4 linked regions of the Arabidopsis thaliana genome follow. The protein of the gene in region 1 interacts with the protein of each later gene in a pairwise test. Each region holds a gene or a part of one and is shown in the gene's direction. Other genes may lie near its edges.

Region 1 (3,241 bases):
GAAGATGAATCAGACGAGCCTCTTTCAACGGTGACGGTCTCCGTTGCCGTCTCTTGACAAAGCGAAGAGGAAGAAGATTCAATATCGACGACGTTTGGAATTGCCGTCATAGTAGCTTCCTACACCGTTTCTATTTCTTGTATTAACTTTTTGGTCGTTTATTGTAAGAAATACATCAGTGTTACTATCAAAAAGCTGCCACATTATAACCCATTTTTTTGGAATATAACAATTTATTAACACCTGTATATCTCCAGCTAGCCGTTGGATCTTTGTGGTCGGTCAAGATGAATCGGTCGTCCATTGAATTTGATTTCATGCATGAGGACAAGTGTCGCTTAGGGAAAGCATATACATCAGTTAAAATGCTACTATGCAAGTGCTTTTTTTTTAATAAAGAAGAGAGTTAAAAGATAATTTTGTTAGCTAGAGTTACAGGGCTGTGAGTCTGTGATCAGAGCTCTGTTATTCTTCTATATGATGATAAAATTCATATATTATTGTAGACGATGATAAAACTTATATTGAATTGAAATAGCAGCCATGCTTGTGAATATTAAAACTAGAAATTTTTACTGTAACGTCAATGTTATACGCACTAGAAAATCAAAATGCAATATAGAGTTTTAAGGAATATATAAAGAGACTTAATGGTCGATAAAGAGATCAAAAACAAACTTGTTATAGCGGTTGCATTGGTTGTGGCCGCAGGTGAAGAAGCGACGGTTACATAGGCGATAATGGATTAAACGACGAGCCTTGAGTGAATCCGGTGGGAAGATGAAAAAGGAAGAAACACCATGGCAGGTGAAATTCGACTATGCTCACATTGCAACCATTGCATCGGTCTAACTTCCTCTTTCATATACTCACATTTTTACGAGAATCAACCAAACAATCGTTGCGAGAGAAGCACTTGGATCCTACCTTCCATTGCACTTACTGTTTCCTTGTTTTAAGAGTGAAATGTTTGATTGTGATGGCTTTGGTTATCACAAGAAACAAACAATTGTATAGAGTAACTCAAGTTAATACTCATTACTGTTTATTACAATAGTTACATTTTAAAATTCGTCCGTTATGTCAACCTTTGAAACAAAACATGGAATAGAATTTATACCATGTTGACTGTTAACATTGTAGTAAATAAGATGTATTCAAAGTACTAAAAGAAGTAACAGTCTACTTTACTGACTAAACTTTACTAACTATATAACAGCAAAGTTTATAACTAATATAAAATGAAGCTTTTGGGCTACCTAACCGACATGCCACAACCAAATTTGTTGCTCTGCATGGGTCCTTTTGCAAGATTGGCACGACTCATAAAAATGCTCCCAAAAGTCCGTACTACAAAAAGTTTCGGAGGATTAAAACTATTCTAAATTTCTAATCTTATTCTAATTAAAATGCTCCCAAACGTACGTACCCTACAACAAGCTTAGCAACGACCTAAATTAAATTTCAGATTTTTTATACTTTTTGTTGAGTGAATATGATTACTTTGGGCTTGCAAAACACTTAAATATGTCAAATGGTCCGTTTATAGATTATTGAGCGTTTTCGTGTGGACAATTTCTTTTGTGGGCTGAAGTTGGGCGGTCCATAATGGATTACAACGATCCATTGGAGCCGGCTATGATACTATTGTAAATATTATATTGGTTCGGGGCAGCAATGTAATTGGTTGGAACGCTCAAAAAGAGATTGAGAATAGAAATGGAAATGATCTAAATCAATAATTTGCACAAAACTTTATTCTCAATTTACCAAGTGAAAGTTATCTAAATCTAATATTTTGCAAAAAGTTTACTTTCCAATTCCATATTAAGAGAAATCTAGATATTTAGACAATTTTCTAATTTGTTTCAAAAAGAGTTCTGATTTTTTCTCTTTTGTATTTTACCTTTTTTCTTAGGCTAAATCTCCTATATATATGTTTGAATAGAGAACGTAAGAAATATAAAAAAAATTAAGCAAGATGAATTACAACGATCCATTGGAACCGGCTATGATCATAACAAAAGTGCTATCAAAGAGTGATATCGTTGGTAATGTGGTATTACCGAAAGCAGAAGTGATGTCTGTCCTCACGAGGATGAATGTTAACGACCAAGATTTGCTAAACGGTGTTGAAGTGCAAGTCGACGACATAATGGAAGACGACTTATACACAGTTACGCTCAAAGTATCAGGTATCGATAAACCTAAATATTATTTCGGTACTGGTTGGAGTACTATGAAGCATTCGTTAGATCTCTCAGAAGGCGATGTTCTGAAACTCTACTGGAGTCACTTGGACAACAAGTTCGTTGTTTTGAATTTTCAGTATTCAGTACTTCCATTAATGATTCCAGTGTAGCTCGCTTGCACCTATCTTCTTTTCTGTTTTTGACTATTTATGTTTTGGATTTCATATCCTAGTTAAGTGCTGGCTTTTTTTGCCCTATCTTTTTGTTTCTCTTTTGTCAAACTTGATTGGATTATCTTGAATTTGAATTTCAATAAAACGTGGTTCACTTGCCCTACACATGTCCACACACAGACAAAAGTCTTTGACAATTATGTAATTTCCTGCTAGCGCTATTGTATGTGAGCCTAGTTCATGGTCCATCAATCGAGCCAGCCCAAAGTCACCTACTTTTACATTGAAATTGATGTCCAACATGATATTGCTTGCCTTGATGTCCCTATGCAACACACACCGATCTCCCTCTCCGTGAAGATCTGTGTGTCCTAGGTGAGATAAGGGGTCTTTTCTCAAAGAGGTGAGTGTCCAAGCTACCATTCGGCATGAACTCCTATATAAGCAAATACTCATCTTTTTCATTACACCAACACAATGGGCTGCACCAGGTTTCGATGACGCAGTTTGCTAATGATCTTAACTTCGGTTACAAACTCTTTCTTTCACTGCTTGGAACCACCAGACAATTTCTTCACAGCAACCATCATATCTATTTCGTTCAAGTACCATCTATAAACTGCCCCAAACCCTCCTTCACCAAGCTTCCTCTGGGCTGAGAATCTGTTGGTAGCTAAAACAAGATCCTTATAAACAAACCTCAATATCCAAACTTGAGATGAACTCCCATGATAAAAGCTTATGTCCCTCTGTGACCGATCCAGTAGCGGCTGAAAACCCGACCGTAACATGTGGTGGCAAAACCTTTGCAAGATCAATGATATAGGAAATGCCTAAACTCTCCTGAGGATCAGAGGTTAATTCATAAGCCCAAGA
Region 2 (3,784 bases), on another chromosome or scaffold:
GCAAACAGCTTGAGAAGAAAGTTGGACTTTATTGATCTAGATACGAAAAAGGTCAATACATTGGCTGCATAGGGACCTTATTATTATATCTTCCTTTGACCTACTAGGGTCGACTCAAAAATGAAGGTGGACTGATCGGTCCCAAGTATATATAGACCTATCGGTCTCTGATTGTCTGGATCAGTTTCCACACCAGTTTCATCTGATTGACATGTCTTAAGTAGATTGGCCATAACGTCTTATTTCACTGTTAGATTTTCTTCAAATCACTTGGAAATAAAAGCAAAGATCATCACCTAGCTTGTATCACAATATGAGGAAGATATAACGGTGGAAAATCTTCCACATGACGCGAAACTCCAAACCCTTATACATGATCTCACATCTCCAAATGCGTGTTTGCATCCCAAAATGTTTTTTCCTCCATATCAATCTAAAACCTGTAAAGGATTAAAGAAAATCTTGAAACGCACTTTAACTCAATAAAAGACATGTTATCGGCTACATGTAAGGTTGTCATAATGCTCATGTTGTTCATCTCCAAAACGAGTTTGATAATGCATGATTTCGGTTAGACTATTCCCTTTACAATGCATGAATTTTCGATGATTTTTGAAGCCTTAGTCCATTGGTCTCGGATCGCCATGTCATTTGTCGTAGATTGCTAACTGATGTTGCCGGTAAAGTATTTTTGAATATATCCTCTAACGTTTCGTTGTCGAGTTGATTAATGTAGATATTTTTCATGGGTCTTCGGCTGAAAAACAGCTCAGTACGGAAAGTTGGTGCTCCAGCTAAAATTCCATGGAGTTAAATAGGGTCTCTAGATTTGCACTGAACTTGTTTTAGGGTTTTCGATTGCATGGTCGAATCACAGATCCATCCAACACCTCTGGTGTATCGGGTGAGGAATCTTCTAGTTGGATGTGGGTCCATCCAACACATCTTGTGCATCACATGAGGAATCTTCTAATTCGATATCCACATCAATTTATTTGACCTTTTGTAACACCCTGGTTTCACAAAATATGGTGGTGCATGCAGAGAAGTTTTAAAAATTTGATTTGACCACCTATATCATCAAATTGCACTTATTTTCAGTCAAACATCTGAAAAGAACTTCATAATTAAGCGTGCTTAAGTTAGAAAAATTACAGGGAATGACCTTCCAAGAAGTGATTGTCGCAACTGTATATGAGCGAGGATAAAACACGAGAAAATATAATGTGGTGATATGTAGGATCGGTAAACAAGCCTTTAAAGCCTCGTAAACGTAATGGATCGGCTATCGGGTAAGAGTGAGCCCGTGAGCCGAGAGAGGACGTGGGGTCACTAAGAAAGATGGAGGTCGGGGAGTTACAAACGGTATCAGAGCCAAACCCAGACGAATGTGGAGTTAAGAGGGTTAACAAAGTCGATTGTGACGGTCTTGATGCGCAACCAGGACGATACGATCTGCTAGAGGGATGAATTGTAACACTTTAGTTTCATGAAATATGGTGATGCATGTAGAAATGTTTAAAAGAATTGATTTTGACACCTATGTCTTTTGATGGGTGAATTTAGGAGAAGTGATTATTGTCGGATCCGTGTGAGTGAAAACAAAACATGAAATAATAAAATAAAAAACTCCTTTTAATTTAGAAAAAGTTGTTACCAAGTTTCATCAGTTTTTTATTTTCATTTTATTGATATGTCGTGGCTAGTGCGCATGTTTGACGCGTGTGAGTTTGCATTTTAAAATAAAATTTGTATATATGGAATGATATGTAGAGATACTAAATCTAATTTATAATTATTACAAAATTTGTATTTTTCCTAAATATTTTCTAATGAAAGATAAGCATTACAAAATTTATACTTTCTTCAGAAAATATATCTTAAGAATTTGTTTGGAATACCAACTCTTGACTATTATGATAAATTTGTGTAGTCAGAGTTATAAAGATATTTATGGTAGTAGTTAAAAGATAAATATATTTAAAAGGTAAATTCAAATATTTTAATAAAAAAAGGATAACAAAGATAAAAAATTATAATTAATGCGTTAAACCTACTTGAACCAATCCATCTATAAAATGGAGTAGAGTAGTAACAAAAACAACACCAACAACAAAAACATCTCTCTAAAACTAAGAAATGGGTCGTAGAAAAATAGAGATAAAATTTATTGAAGATAGCATCGAAAGGAAAGCGACGTTTTCAAGACGCCGAAATGGCATTTTTAAGAAGGCTGATGAACTCGCGAAGTTGTGTAATGTAGAGATTGCTGTCTTGGTCATCTCCCCCACTAATATACCATACACATACGGTTATCCATGCTTCAACGATGTGGTTGAGCGTATTCAAAATCCTAGTGCTTCGTCCAAACTCAGGAGTCTCATGAAAGAATTGGAACAAATCAAAGAGTTTCAGGAGGTATGTTTCCCATCATTAATATAATCTCATCCGTTAGTTTTCCTTCTTCTTCGTTCTCAACATATAGATTACAAAGATGGGTTTGCTATTATACACAGAATTAAATAATCATTATTTATTTTATATTATATAATATTTTTTTTGTCAATTTTAGGATTTGAGGAAGAAACAGCAAAGAAACCTTGAAAAGTCCAATATGAAAGAGAATGTAGATCTGAAATTGGAGGACTTAGTTGCTTTCAAGGCGAAACTCGAGGCCTATCAAGCAGGTTTAAAGAGGAAACATGTAGAGATGGAGGATTTGTCTTCTCCATCGATACTCTCAAAGAATACAAAGAATAAGATGATGAGGACCGAGTATTCGTCTGGACAGAGCAAAGGAATGTATGAGTTTCGGGCTTTCGGCCCAGGATTTCTTGGAACTATTTAGAACAATCGTCAAAATAAATATAAATATATAATTATTTATATCATATAAATCAATTACCGTTTATTTTTCTTTCCAAAAGTTTAAGGAATAAATTTTGGTTGCTTTAGTTTGAAGGAAGTTGTGTCCTCCATCTTGTTATCTTTTCAATCGGATTTTCGTAATGAAATGTTTTTTATATATAAATAATATACAATATATGTGATAATTTTGGAAAATATGTCAAAAAAATGTGAACTTTCAAATTTAGAACAAAAAAACATGAATTTTCGAAATGTCACTTAAATACCAAAGTTATTGTTGACTTTAGAATTAAATAGATAACTTTCGTTGATTTTGCCATTTCGGGTAAAACGTTACGTCAACTGACGAAAAAAATAACAGAATTAAGTCTTTTTTTTGTCATAAGATATTATTTAAGACTTAAACGAGCCAAAATTACGGGAAATTAACAGAATTAAGTCTTCGGTTATAAATTCTGTTAACTTATAAAACAACGTCGTTTCAATTTCTTTTTTTTTTTACAAGTTGAGGAATTGAACCCGCAACCTGTGAGATATAACAACTTTCCTTTACCGACTTAGCTCGCAGTTATTTATATGTTCTCAGAAACATACATATTTCTATAGGTTATAACAAAATGCCCAAATTAATAAAAATTTAGGGTTTCGATCCCCTTTTTCACAGTCTTCCCAATTTTAAAAGTTCTTTCCAAGAGGGAAGTCGATTGATGACGTATCCTCCGAAAATGATGAGTAAATCTAGAGAAAGCTTGATCAGAAGATGAGAAGATGGTGGATTCTTTAAAATCGTCGAGGTTTAGATCTTGATTCGCGATCTTTAGAGTGAGCCCCATAGAGATGTAGCCCGAATCGGAAGTTGATGCCATTGATGCGTTTATCGAGCTTTTGTTTAACCTATATAATTATCTATGTTAAG
Region 3 (3,830 bases), on another chromosome or scaffold:
AGGAAAGAGAGCGGTTGTTATCGGAAGGAGTAACATTGTCGGTATGCCAGCTGCTCTTTTACTGCAGGTAATGATGATGATACCTTCTTTAAGATGCCGTTTTTTCTGGTTGTGACATTCGAAAGTTAGTTACATGTTTGGTCTTTATTGTTGTGTTTTGTATTTGTAGAGGGAGGATGCAACCGTTAGCATTATCCATTCAAGAACCAAGAACCCTGAAGAAATCACAAGAGAAGCTGATATTATAATCTCAGCTGTTGGACAGCCAAACATGGTCAGAGGAAGCTGGATAAAACCGGGCGCAGTCCTCATCGATGTTGGGATTAATCCTGTTGAGGTGAGTGGAATTTTCTTTTTGACATATGGTCATGGCGTAATTCAGTGATATAATAAGTTTCAAATCAACCAGTATGCAACATTCATACATGTACATAATATGAATTGCAGGATCCAAGTGCTGCGCGTGGATATCGATTGGTTGGAGACATTTGCTACGAGGAGGCTAGCAAAGTTGCATCAGCCATCACACCTGTTCCTGGCGGTGTAGGACCAATGACCATAGCCATGCTTCTATCCAACACTTTAACATCAGCTAAGAGGATTCACAACTTCCAGTGACGTCACTTAAAAAGAAGATTGCTGGCCTTTTGGGAAACAAACAAATCGTACTCTGTTTTTTGAAGCCAATGATTTACTTTGGTCTTTAAAGAAAGTTATCGTTTTGTTCTATGAAACAAAACATGTAGTTTTTAAGTCACATAAATTGTCTTCAACATTGTTTGTCTCTTCTTGGTATTTTGAGTCAGAACTAGTTTTAACTTATCCCAGCTATGATATATCCCAGCCTCACCCATCGGTCTCTTCGTCATTATACTTTATTTATAACTACCTTTCAACGAAGGTTAATTTGAAACAAGAAAACACAGTCACTTGTTCTACATTACTTTTGTTAAACCCTAACTTGAGCTCGAAGCCACGACCACTGTTCTGTTTTCCTAGTAAAATAATGGCGTCGTTGATGTTAACCGATTGCTCCTTCTCCACGACCTCGCGTCTCATCGATTTGAACCGCCTCAACGGTGCTTTCCTGCCCCGCTGGTGCGTCAGCCAACTCAAGCTTTCCCACCACTGCGCCCGGACGTGGCCGCATGCGCTCCTCTTATACCACTGTGCCCGGACGTGGCCACATTCTCTCCATTCGCTCCTCTTGTATAGACTAAACCTTTTCATCCAATTGCTTACGTATTTTCAGATATCCAACTCTTAAGATTTTACTTTTCTGTTCAGCTGATGAGGCGATGGTATTTGATCAAACGGCTGTGGAACTAAGTATCATGCAGGAGATCAGAGTCGAAACTTCAAGAATGGAGAAACTAATCAGTCCTGGTTTAGCAGTAATCCTTTTTGGGGACAGAGAGTTCTCTGAAGAATATAAAGAAATTTAAACTCTAGCATCTTTGCTCCAAAAACAAACTCTATAGAGTTTAAATTTCTTTCTTCTTTTTTACAAAAGAGGGATTATAGTATTATACACCATAAACCCCGTAAAATTAAAAGAAGGTATTCAGTTACCAAAATCGGATTTAGTAGCATTTAGTTTTTTTGAATTTTAAATGTACACCATAAACCCCGTAAAATTAGTCAAAACAATTAATGTGATTTATGATAATTGTAATTAAATAAAAAAGATATTACTCGATTAGTAATTACTGATTAACTGAATCATTGATCTCATTAAACAATTAAAGAAAGATTACTCGATTAGTTAGCATTTAGTTTTAATTTTTTTAATATACTAAAAATACCAATCGGAAATTCAGTTACCAAAATTAGATTTATTAACATTTACTTTTTGAATTTTAGATGTACACCATAAACCCCGTAAAATTGGTCAAAGATTTATGATACTTGTAATTAAGGAAAGAACCAAATGCAATATATGGTTTCGGTGCAAAACCTTAAAACTGACCAACTTCTCAATTTTTTATTTAAAAACCCTACCAAATTTCTCTCTCGTTTCTCTCCGATGGCCAAGAACAAGACTTTGGTTACTCCATCAACGGTGAAGAAGTCATCTGACGTCGCATCTACGTCAAAGAAACTGTCGGGAGTCGCATCTCCAGCGAAGAAACCGTCGGGTGTCACATCTCCGGTCAAGAAGCCGTTGGAAGCCGTCGCATCAACTTCATCTGAGGAGGAGGAGGAAGATGAGCCTTCCAGCGATTCAGAGTCGGGATCGGAGAGTGAGTCTGACACTGAAGCTGAGCCGATGACTCTTGCTGCTGCTGCTCCTTCTTCTTCGAATGAGAAGAGACAAAGTGAAGGAAAACCAGAGGAGGAACGAGCCAAGACTGAAACAGAGACGGGGAAGAAGCCACTGTTGTTTCAGAGATTGTGGACTGATGAAGACGAGATCGTCTTTCTTCAAGGAATGATCAAATTTGCTAAGGATACAGGTAAGAATGTTTCCGAGGACATGAATGGCTTTTTCGAAAAACTTAAAGATTCGATTAGCTTTGAGGTGAAGACTGATCAGTTCGTTAACAAAATCCGGTCTATGAAGAGAAAGTATATTGAGAACAAGAAAACTACTACAGAGCATGATAAGAAGTGTTACGAATTGGCTGAGATAATTTGGGTAAGTGATGGTGATGCTACTGCTCTTGTGAAGCCAAAGAAGAAGAAGCTTAAGGTTGATGAAGAAAGTGATTGGTTCGAGAGGTCGTTTGTTGATGGTGCGTTTAAAGAATTGGGTCCGGGGGTTGATGAAGAGACATGGAAGAAGAATTGGAGTTTGGTACCGGTGAAGAAGAGGAAGAGGATAGAAGAAAAGGTGAAGTCCATGCAAGCTGATGAGCTCAAAACGACGTGGCAGAAGATTGACGTTGTGCATGAGATGAGATCTTTGATGGCTAAATATGTTTAGTCTTTATCTGTTTAGAGATGCATTTGCCTATGTTTTTCTTTTTGGTTTTGTGTTGGAACCTTTATGGCTTTCTCGTTTATTCATATGTTTTATGTTAAAGATGTTTTTTTGGATAACAAAAATAGGTGGTTTTTTGTTTGCATCTTAGTCTTCTTCCTTTGTTACTACAGACATGAAATCGTTAGATAATTATGATATGATATAAACTAATAATGATTCTAGGAGATAATTCCTAATGGATTTAAGATAAGTACATATCTTCTATATCTACCTTTACACACACGTTAACTTAGAAACAATCTACTTTGTTTTCTTCTGTTTGCCTAGTAAACAAATGGCGTCGATGATGTTTACTGATTGCTCCTCCTCCACAACGTCGCGTCTCATCCATTTATACAACCGCAATGGTGTTTTCCTCCCCCGCCCGAGCGTCAGCCAATTCAGCTTACGGACAACTGCGTCTACTTGGCGCTGCACTCTCTCCATTCGCTCCTCTTCTTCTCCATCTGCGATTGTAATTGATGGAAAGGCTGAGGCCAAAAAGATTAGAGATGATATCAAAATCGAAGTTTCAAGAATGAAGGAATCAATCGGTGTGGTTCCTGGTTTAGCAGTAATCCTTGTTGGAAAAGAACAAGGAATCCGCTACTTACGTGAGGAACAAGAAAATAGCTTGTGAATCCGTCGGAATTAAATCAGTCCAAGTTCGTCTAGCTGAAGATTCATCAGAAGAAGAGGTGTTGAAATATGTATCAGGATTCAATGATGATCCTTCTGTTCACGGAGTCCTTGTTCAGTTGCCTCTACCATCGGTAAACAAAGTCTATCTTCATATTCTTCATCATAACTTAAAATAAACAGTAAATTACAACGGTGTTTTGGGATGTCGTGTATATGCAGCATA
Region 4 (7,021 bases), on another chromosome or scaffold:
CTGCAAAACCTCATATGATGCAATGGACGGTCAAGTTTTAAGAAACTAATATGAAATTGGGATTTTGTTTTCTTTTATGAATTAAGGTTCAATTTGAGATATATATGATTGTTATAGTTTGAAGAAGTTGAAAGTTTTTTAATCTGTTTTAAAGAATATCACTTGGAGAGTGGAAGATATTCTTAAACTAACACTAACGTAAGATATAATTTGTTCAATAGAAAAAAGTGGTTATCCAAGCTACACAAACTTTTTAGACTTATTTCTCTCATTCTTCTAGAGATTTTTAATGAAATTTGTATATACTTGAAATGCATATAAAATAAATAAGAAAACAATATCTACTTAATGTCCTGTTCAAGAATTATTAAGAAATTTCACTACGTTGTTAAGTCCATTTTACTCCACCTTCTCCACTGGAGTTAGACTCTACTAAGTCGCGTTATCCTGCAGAGTAAAGATTGACTATGCATTGGACCTTGTCGATGTGAAAATGTTAAAAAGATAATTATTATGAAATCTCTACTATAACATATTTGGTTTCCTCAATTTTAAAATACCTATTTTTTTCTCAGTTTACCATTAACCAATCTATTCCGTGATATTTAATGTTTAAACCCTTCTTCAATTCTATTTAACCTACATTCTAAACAAGGTGTCCTCATTTTCAAAATCCTAAACTCATCTTCATCTATATTTCTATTTTCTGCCAAAATCATACCACAAAAAACATATACGAAAAATGACCACGGAAATTGTCTTTTATTGTTTATTTCCAAAGTCAACCAAGTTGACTGTTCTTTATATAATGATTTTTTTTTAAAAAATTATATATTGAGCTAAGAAAATATTAAGTGTAATTTTCAAAAAGAGAAAATATATTTATTATAAAAATCTATAGTGGTGGATCAAAATTCTGGTTTAAATTATTGTATCAATTTTGAGGTTCAAATTTTAGGATGGAAGAGAAACGTAGAATGCACTTAAAGTTCTGTCGATTTTTGTTAGTACATAATCCCTCATATAACCATACATATACTTATTGCAATAACCATACGTTAAGAATAGGGACCAACTTCATCGGTGCTTCTGTTAGACATTTCAAGAATGATATATCACATTCATGTATCTCCGTATATGTATTAAGACCAATGACTAAACTCAGCCATTGTAGATATAGTTCAGGTAAAACTGTCAATTGTGGATCAGTATGTTGAAAATTGTTAACTATGGTTCGCTTGTAACAGAATATAAATATAATAATAATATATAATACTAATAGTAATATATATAATAATAATAAAAAGCAAGCACTAATTATTTTATAGAAACACTTTAAAAAGTATTAAAATCTCATTTAAAACAACTCTCCAAGTTGGTAGTCCATTGATCTACAAGACAGCTCCACCTGAACCACATCCACAATGTAAAATTTAACCGTACACATAAACCATGATCATAAGATGCAACATGGTAAAATCTCTGGTGAAGTTTTCGTAATCGATGATGAATATATATATATATATATATATATATATATATATATATATATATATATATATATATATATATATACAATATATTTTTATTTTCAATCTATTTAGTAAGTACATATTTGTTATGAAAGTACAAAAATAACATTGTAATAGGTCAAGCTCTTTGTGGTGGTTTACATTGTAATAGGTCAAGCTCTTTATTATTATTTTACTATATGTATCTTCTTATCCATTCTTATATTTTATATCATATATGGTCAAAAGAACCAATCGTATCACAGCAGCATTTGTTAATAGAACTTTGATCTTGGTAATTACAGGTTCTATATTGAAATCGCAGGAGCCAAACCAGCAACTTGGGTTAATTATTAACTTCATTCACCAATAATAATAATTGATCGTCAAGACTATTTCGGACACAAAGACATAAATACTTGTTTTCTGCTCTCCCTTTCCCTAAATGTATCATTTGATACTTTCTCTTTTTCCCTCCATATGCCTTTTGTGTGTATAAATATATGTATATGAATAAGTTCACAAAAATAGAAAATTAAATCAAATCTTCGCGTAATTTCTCATCAAACTCCACTTTTCTTCTTTTTAAGAGAATCTAGGGTTTCTTCTACTACTTCTTCTTTCTTCTTTAGGTGGTCAAATTTCCAAGTTCTTCTTTTAGCTCTCTCTTTTGTTTCCAAGAAACCTGAGAAGAATTTTTGTAGATATGGGAAGAGGAAGGGTTCAGCTACGGCGGATCGAGAATAAGATAAGGAGACAAGTGACATTTTCAAAGCGAAGGACCGGTTTGGTAAAGAAAGCTCAAGAGATCTCAGTGTTATGTGATGCTGAAGTTGCTTTGATTGTTTTCTCCCCCAAAGGCAAACTCTTTGAGTACTCTGCTGGTTCCAGGTTTGAATCTTTCCTAAGCTAATTAATTTACCAACTTATTTTAAGATCGCATATTTATCTACATAAATATTAGCCTATATTTCATGTTTGACATATTGGGAAAAGTGGTATATATAGGTTTCACATAGAGGAGATTGATTTGAAATTGGCTGAGATTGTTTAATTAATTAAATCAGTTTATAGCCAATTTTGTTTAGTTCTTCCATCTCTAACTTAGAGAAGATCATAAAAAATGAATGATTGTACAATACTATATATTAAATCAAAAGAAGTGATTAATAGAGATGATCGCATCAAAAAATAATTGTGAGACATAACAGTTCCACAGATTATATATTATCCAAAAAATATGATGGAAGAATGTGCTAATTGGGCAAACATGATTACGAAATAATATACGTATTAATATAATTTGATTCTTGAGGACATATGTATATATGTTGAACATATCATGAATAAAGAGAGATCTTTCATTTCATTGTTGTGTAAGTTTGTTCTTCAACGTTCTGGAGATAATTAAAACATGATCTACATAAGTTTAAAGAGATATTTAATACAAAGTGTACAAAAAAACTTTAGAATTAACACCTGCAGGCTTAGGATCAAACAAGTAGATCTAATGCTCAAAGTTAGCTTACTTTGGCACTCATAGGAGACTTCATTTTATTTATTTCAAGGAAAAATATAATAAATTCAAGGAAAACGAATTTTAAAAAGGGTTCTTGAATCAAAATAATTTTAATGTTCTTCTTTTGGAATAAATCTGCTATTTACATTTTACTTAAAAATAAAATTGAATGTTGACTAAAATAAAAATAAAATGTTGACTATAATACAAAATAATTTTGGTGGTTTTAACTAACTGAACATATTCTGGTAATAACAAAACATTATTTATCAGAGAATTTAATATAAAAGAAATGAACTGTAAATAATAGCAATTTAATTTTTGAAAAATAAATCCAATTTTAAGATGACGATTTTTTTTTTTTTAGTAATTGTCAAAACAGAACAGTAAAATACTAGGAGACATAATTTGTGATGACACCGTCTAAATTATCTCCAAGGTTCATGTAATATCTAATGCGGTATCATTGGATCAAAATGAACGACACACCAAAAGAAAAACAATTATCTCAATATACACAAACATACTAAAGAGGGACAAGAAATCTACTATAAATAGAAGAGTCAGCTTTCGATCATGATTGTAGTAACTAATAATAGTAAACATGAAACTTTGATTTGATTATGTTAAAATAAAAATTTAAGATATACAGCTAAAATCTTGTTGGAAATTGGAAGCATGACAAGCCTTTGTATAGAGCTTTGTGCATTGCTTTGTCTTTTGGTTGGCGGAACCTAGGACTAACCTCGATCGTCACATGAAAATATACAAACCCATGAAGCTACTTTTCTAGCTTGTAGGCTTAACTAGAATGTTCAAAAATGAATTTGCTTGCAAACATATTTTAACAAAATTTGAGTAGACTTGGTGTATCGATTGCTATAGTCTAATCAATACATTCAATTAATGTATCAAATTGTTTGCAAATGTAGATTAAAGTTCTCGATATAGAGCTTAAATTAATTTAGAAATGTTTCAACTAAAGTACAAAAATGATTATTCAATATCTTCAATGTATTTGTTGAGTGATGATAGTATATACATCGAGTGTTGATTGTTGTTTGATATACTATTTTTTTAGCATGGAGAGAATTCTTGATCGATATGAGAGGTCTGCCTACGCCGGTCAAGATATTCCTACACCAAATTTGGATTCACAGGTTCTTAAGCACATTTAAGACATATGAGTATATATATATGAATCATTGTTTATGGTATGTTTATGGTAAACTTAACTATCGTGTATCGATCTTTTTATCATTTGTAGGGAGAGTGCTCAACAGAATGTTCAAAGCTCTTGAGGATGATTGATGTCCTGCAAAGAAGCCTGAGGTAAGGACTTATTACTTACGTATCATCCAAACATAAAATACATACCTAAGATATCTAAATATGTACAAGATAAGAAATTGCATCTTTATCAAATTATAAGGCACTTAAGAGGAGAAGAGGTGGATGGTCTAAGTATCAGAGACCTTCAAGGTGTGGAGATGCAACTTGATACTGCCCTCAAGAAAACTCGCTCTAGAAAGGTTATTTATATGTATACAAAAACATTGTAGTATATTTTCTATACATGCATGGATCATTTGTATATACAAATGTGTATATCTAATAATGTGCAGTTTGTGTATGCATAAATATACACAGATATATAGATAAACTACACCTAATCATGTAGTAATTATTGTTTTGGTTTGGGAGCACAGAACCAGCTCATGGTAGAGTCCATAGCACAGCTTCAGAAAAAGGTAATACACTAATTAAGAGACTATCGTTGTTATGGTTGTGCCTAGGCCTGGACGTTTGAGTTTACGGGTCCGGTTTTAGTTTGGTTCTATTTTTTGGTTTTTGAGTTTAGGATCCATTCAAGTAATTGTTTTGGATATTGTTTCCACCTAACTTTTGGTATTTCGAGTATTTTTGGTTATTCGGTCTAAAAATAACTAATTATTTTAGGTGTATAAAATGTATTTCGATTCGCTGAATATTTCAGTCTGGTTCCCGTTCTTTCAGTTATGAAGTTATAATCCATTCGGATATTTACGAATTTTGGTTCGTTTTTCTATTAAGTTCCTCTCGGTTTGGTTAGAGTTTGGTTATTTTGCCTAGGACTACTTTTGCCATGCAAACTCATGTATCTGCCTGTCTTTTTTTTCTTTTCGGGTTTGTACAAAACATTATACTTATAGTAGATCTTCACAATTAGTAGTCTTTGATTTTGAGAAATAAACACAAATACATATACTAGATCTTGAATACTTGACTCGATATGAGTTAAACTAATAAATATGTGTCTTTTCTTTTGATGGCATAGGAGAAGGAACTAAAAGAACTGAAGAAACAGCTAACAAAGAAGGTGAAAGTGATGTTAGAATCTTTGACTATATATATAACCAGTTTCTTATAAAATGTAGAATTCACTTAACTTTTAAGAGAGATTAGTCTAGGCGCTAGTTTGAACTCTCTCAATCAAGTGTCGATTTTAAATTTATATTTGAATGTTAAGCAATCGGTGACTGGTAAATAGTAACTATAACAAGTATTGAATTTGGCAGGCTGGTGAAAGGGAAGACTTTCAAACGCAAAACCTCAGCCATGACTTAGCCTCCTTGGCAACACCGCCATTTGAATCACCCCATGAGCTTCGCCGGACAATATCTCCTCCTCCTCCTCCTTTATCTTCGGGGTACTTTAAAGTTTGATTTCACATAGCTACAAAGATAGTAAAAATATAAATGATAATTTGTTAGTGTTGATCAATGATAGTAAGGTAACATATTATAGTTTGTATCAATATTTATTTATCGTGTATATGAGATGAATTAATAAACTGCTTATAGGGATACATCACAAAGGGATGGAGTTGGAGAAGTAGCTGCCGGAACCCTAATTCGAAGGACGAATGCAACGTTGCCTCATTGGATGCCCCAGCTCACCGGAGAATAGAGGTCCGAAACAATCTTGGTTTTTTAATTTTCTGTACTTAATATATAGTACCGGAATAACTTCTTGAGTTAAGTAGAACCAATCCGAATAAAAGAAAATATCTTCTGGCTTGGCATTCTAGGAACAGGCTTAAGAGGCCCTCAAGTTTCAAACTTTGAACGAATTTAGAAACATTGTATGTCTAATGTGATTTTGTATATTGTATCTACGATTTTCACTTTACTGTTTGTGAAAAATGTAATTTCAGTGTAATGAAAAAGAAGAAAAGAACTATAAACTATATTTTTTATGACATATTAATTTCTATAGAAGGTAGGAGAAAACGTTTAATCTATTTTAGAAGCGTTTTGTAAACAGATTTTGCTAAAACAAAATACTTGACAATGTTTGGTAATTTTCTAAAAGTAATTACGATATTTTTTTCAAATAGTCTTGACTATTAAATATGCCATTCAAGAGTCGTCCTCACACTAAGCCGTGTGAACCAATTTACGACTCTGCCTCGCCACGCGATTCCTCCACGCCTTAGCATCGCCGGAGAAAGAAATATTGATTCTCTGCATTGAATTTCATTTTTTCCGGGAGATAGAAACATTTGTCATATGAAAAAGTGTGACTTAAAAACTATAGATTAAAGTATTTCATATACATAAGACGATGTCTTGGTTTAATTTAGACCTTTATGTTGCCATTTGTCCATTGTTATCTTTTATTTATCGATATATTATAGTTTGTCTTGAATAAATCAAACTTCGATATATTTCATTTTGTGTTTTTCCATTTGTCTAATTTATTTTTCTTTTATATATAAAAACTTTTCTTTTGGCCATGTAGCAAATATTGTTTTTTTGTTTATAGTGAATCTCATCACAATAAATAGCCATTTGTGAAAAGAAATCATATCTTCGTCTATGGTTTAAAATTTAAATGATAAACTTCAACAAATGGCCTTGATGTTGTAACTTTTGATACAATGTAATCTAATCAAAATAAATAGGCATTATGAAAAGAAGTCACCTTGTTTTGTCTTTGCTTCGCAATT

The links.
Region 2: the proteins of AT5G54067 (region 1) and AGL102 interact in a two-hybrid assay, tested with the Arabidopsis thaliana proteins (one large-scale study listed by BioGRID).
Region 3: the proteins of AT5G54067 (region 1) and AT4G00610 interact in a two-hybrid assay, tested with the Arabidopsis thaliana proteins (one large-scale study listed by BioGRID).
Region 4: the proteins of AT5G54067 (region 1) and AGL79 interact in a two-hybrid assay, tested with the Arabidopsis thaliana proteins (one large-scale study listed by BioGRID).

What each region holds. Positions count from the first base shown.
Region 1 is NC_003076.8:21,940,887-21,944,127, reverse strand, and holds AT5G54067 (B3 domain protein), read left to right. Parts: upstream 1-1,981; coding exon 1,982-2,362; 3' UTR 2,363-2,526; downstream 2,527-3,241. Other genes in the region: HSFA9 (heat shock transcription factor A9), read right to left, coding at 1-110.
Region 2 is NC_003070.9:17,570,312-17,574,095, forward strand, and holds AGL102 (AGAMOUS-like 102), read left to right. Parts: upstream 1-2,102; 5' UTR 2,103-2,139; coding exon 2,140-2,418; intron 2,419-2,572; coding exon 2,573-2,848; 3' UTR 2,849-3,062; downstream 3,063-3,784.
Region 3 is NC_003075.7:256,053-259,882, reverse strand, and holds AT4G00610 (DNA-binding storekeeper protein-related transcriptional regulator), read left to right. Parts: upstream 1-1,939; coding exon 1,940-2,926; downstream 2,927-3,830. Other genes in the region: EMB3127 (Amino acid dehydrogenase family protein), read left to right, coding at 1-67, 170-337, 448-618; AT4G00600 (Amino acid dehydrogenase family protein), read left to right, coding at 3,273-3,531, 3,641-3,738, 3,827-3,830.
Region 4 is NC_003074.8:11,906,902-11,913,922, forward strand, and holds AGL79 (AGAMOUS-like 79), read left to right. Parts: upstream 1-1,968; 5' UTR 1,969-2,217; coding exon 2,218-2,402; intron 2,403-4,111; coding exon 4,112-4,190; intron 4,191-4,297; coding exon 4,298-4,362; intron 4,363-4,462; coding exon 4,463-4,562; intron 4,563-4,739; coding exon 4,740-4,781; intron 4,782-5,347; coding exon 5,348-5,389; intron 5,390-5,588; coding exon 5,589-5,719; intron 5,720-5,873; coding exon 5,874-5,979; 3' UTR 5,980-6,265; downstream 6,266-7,021.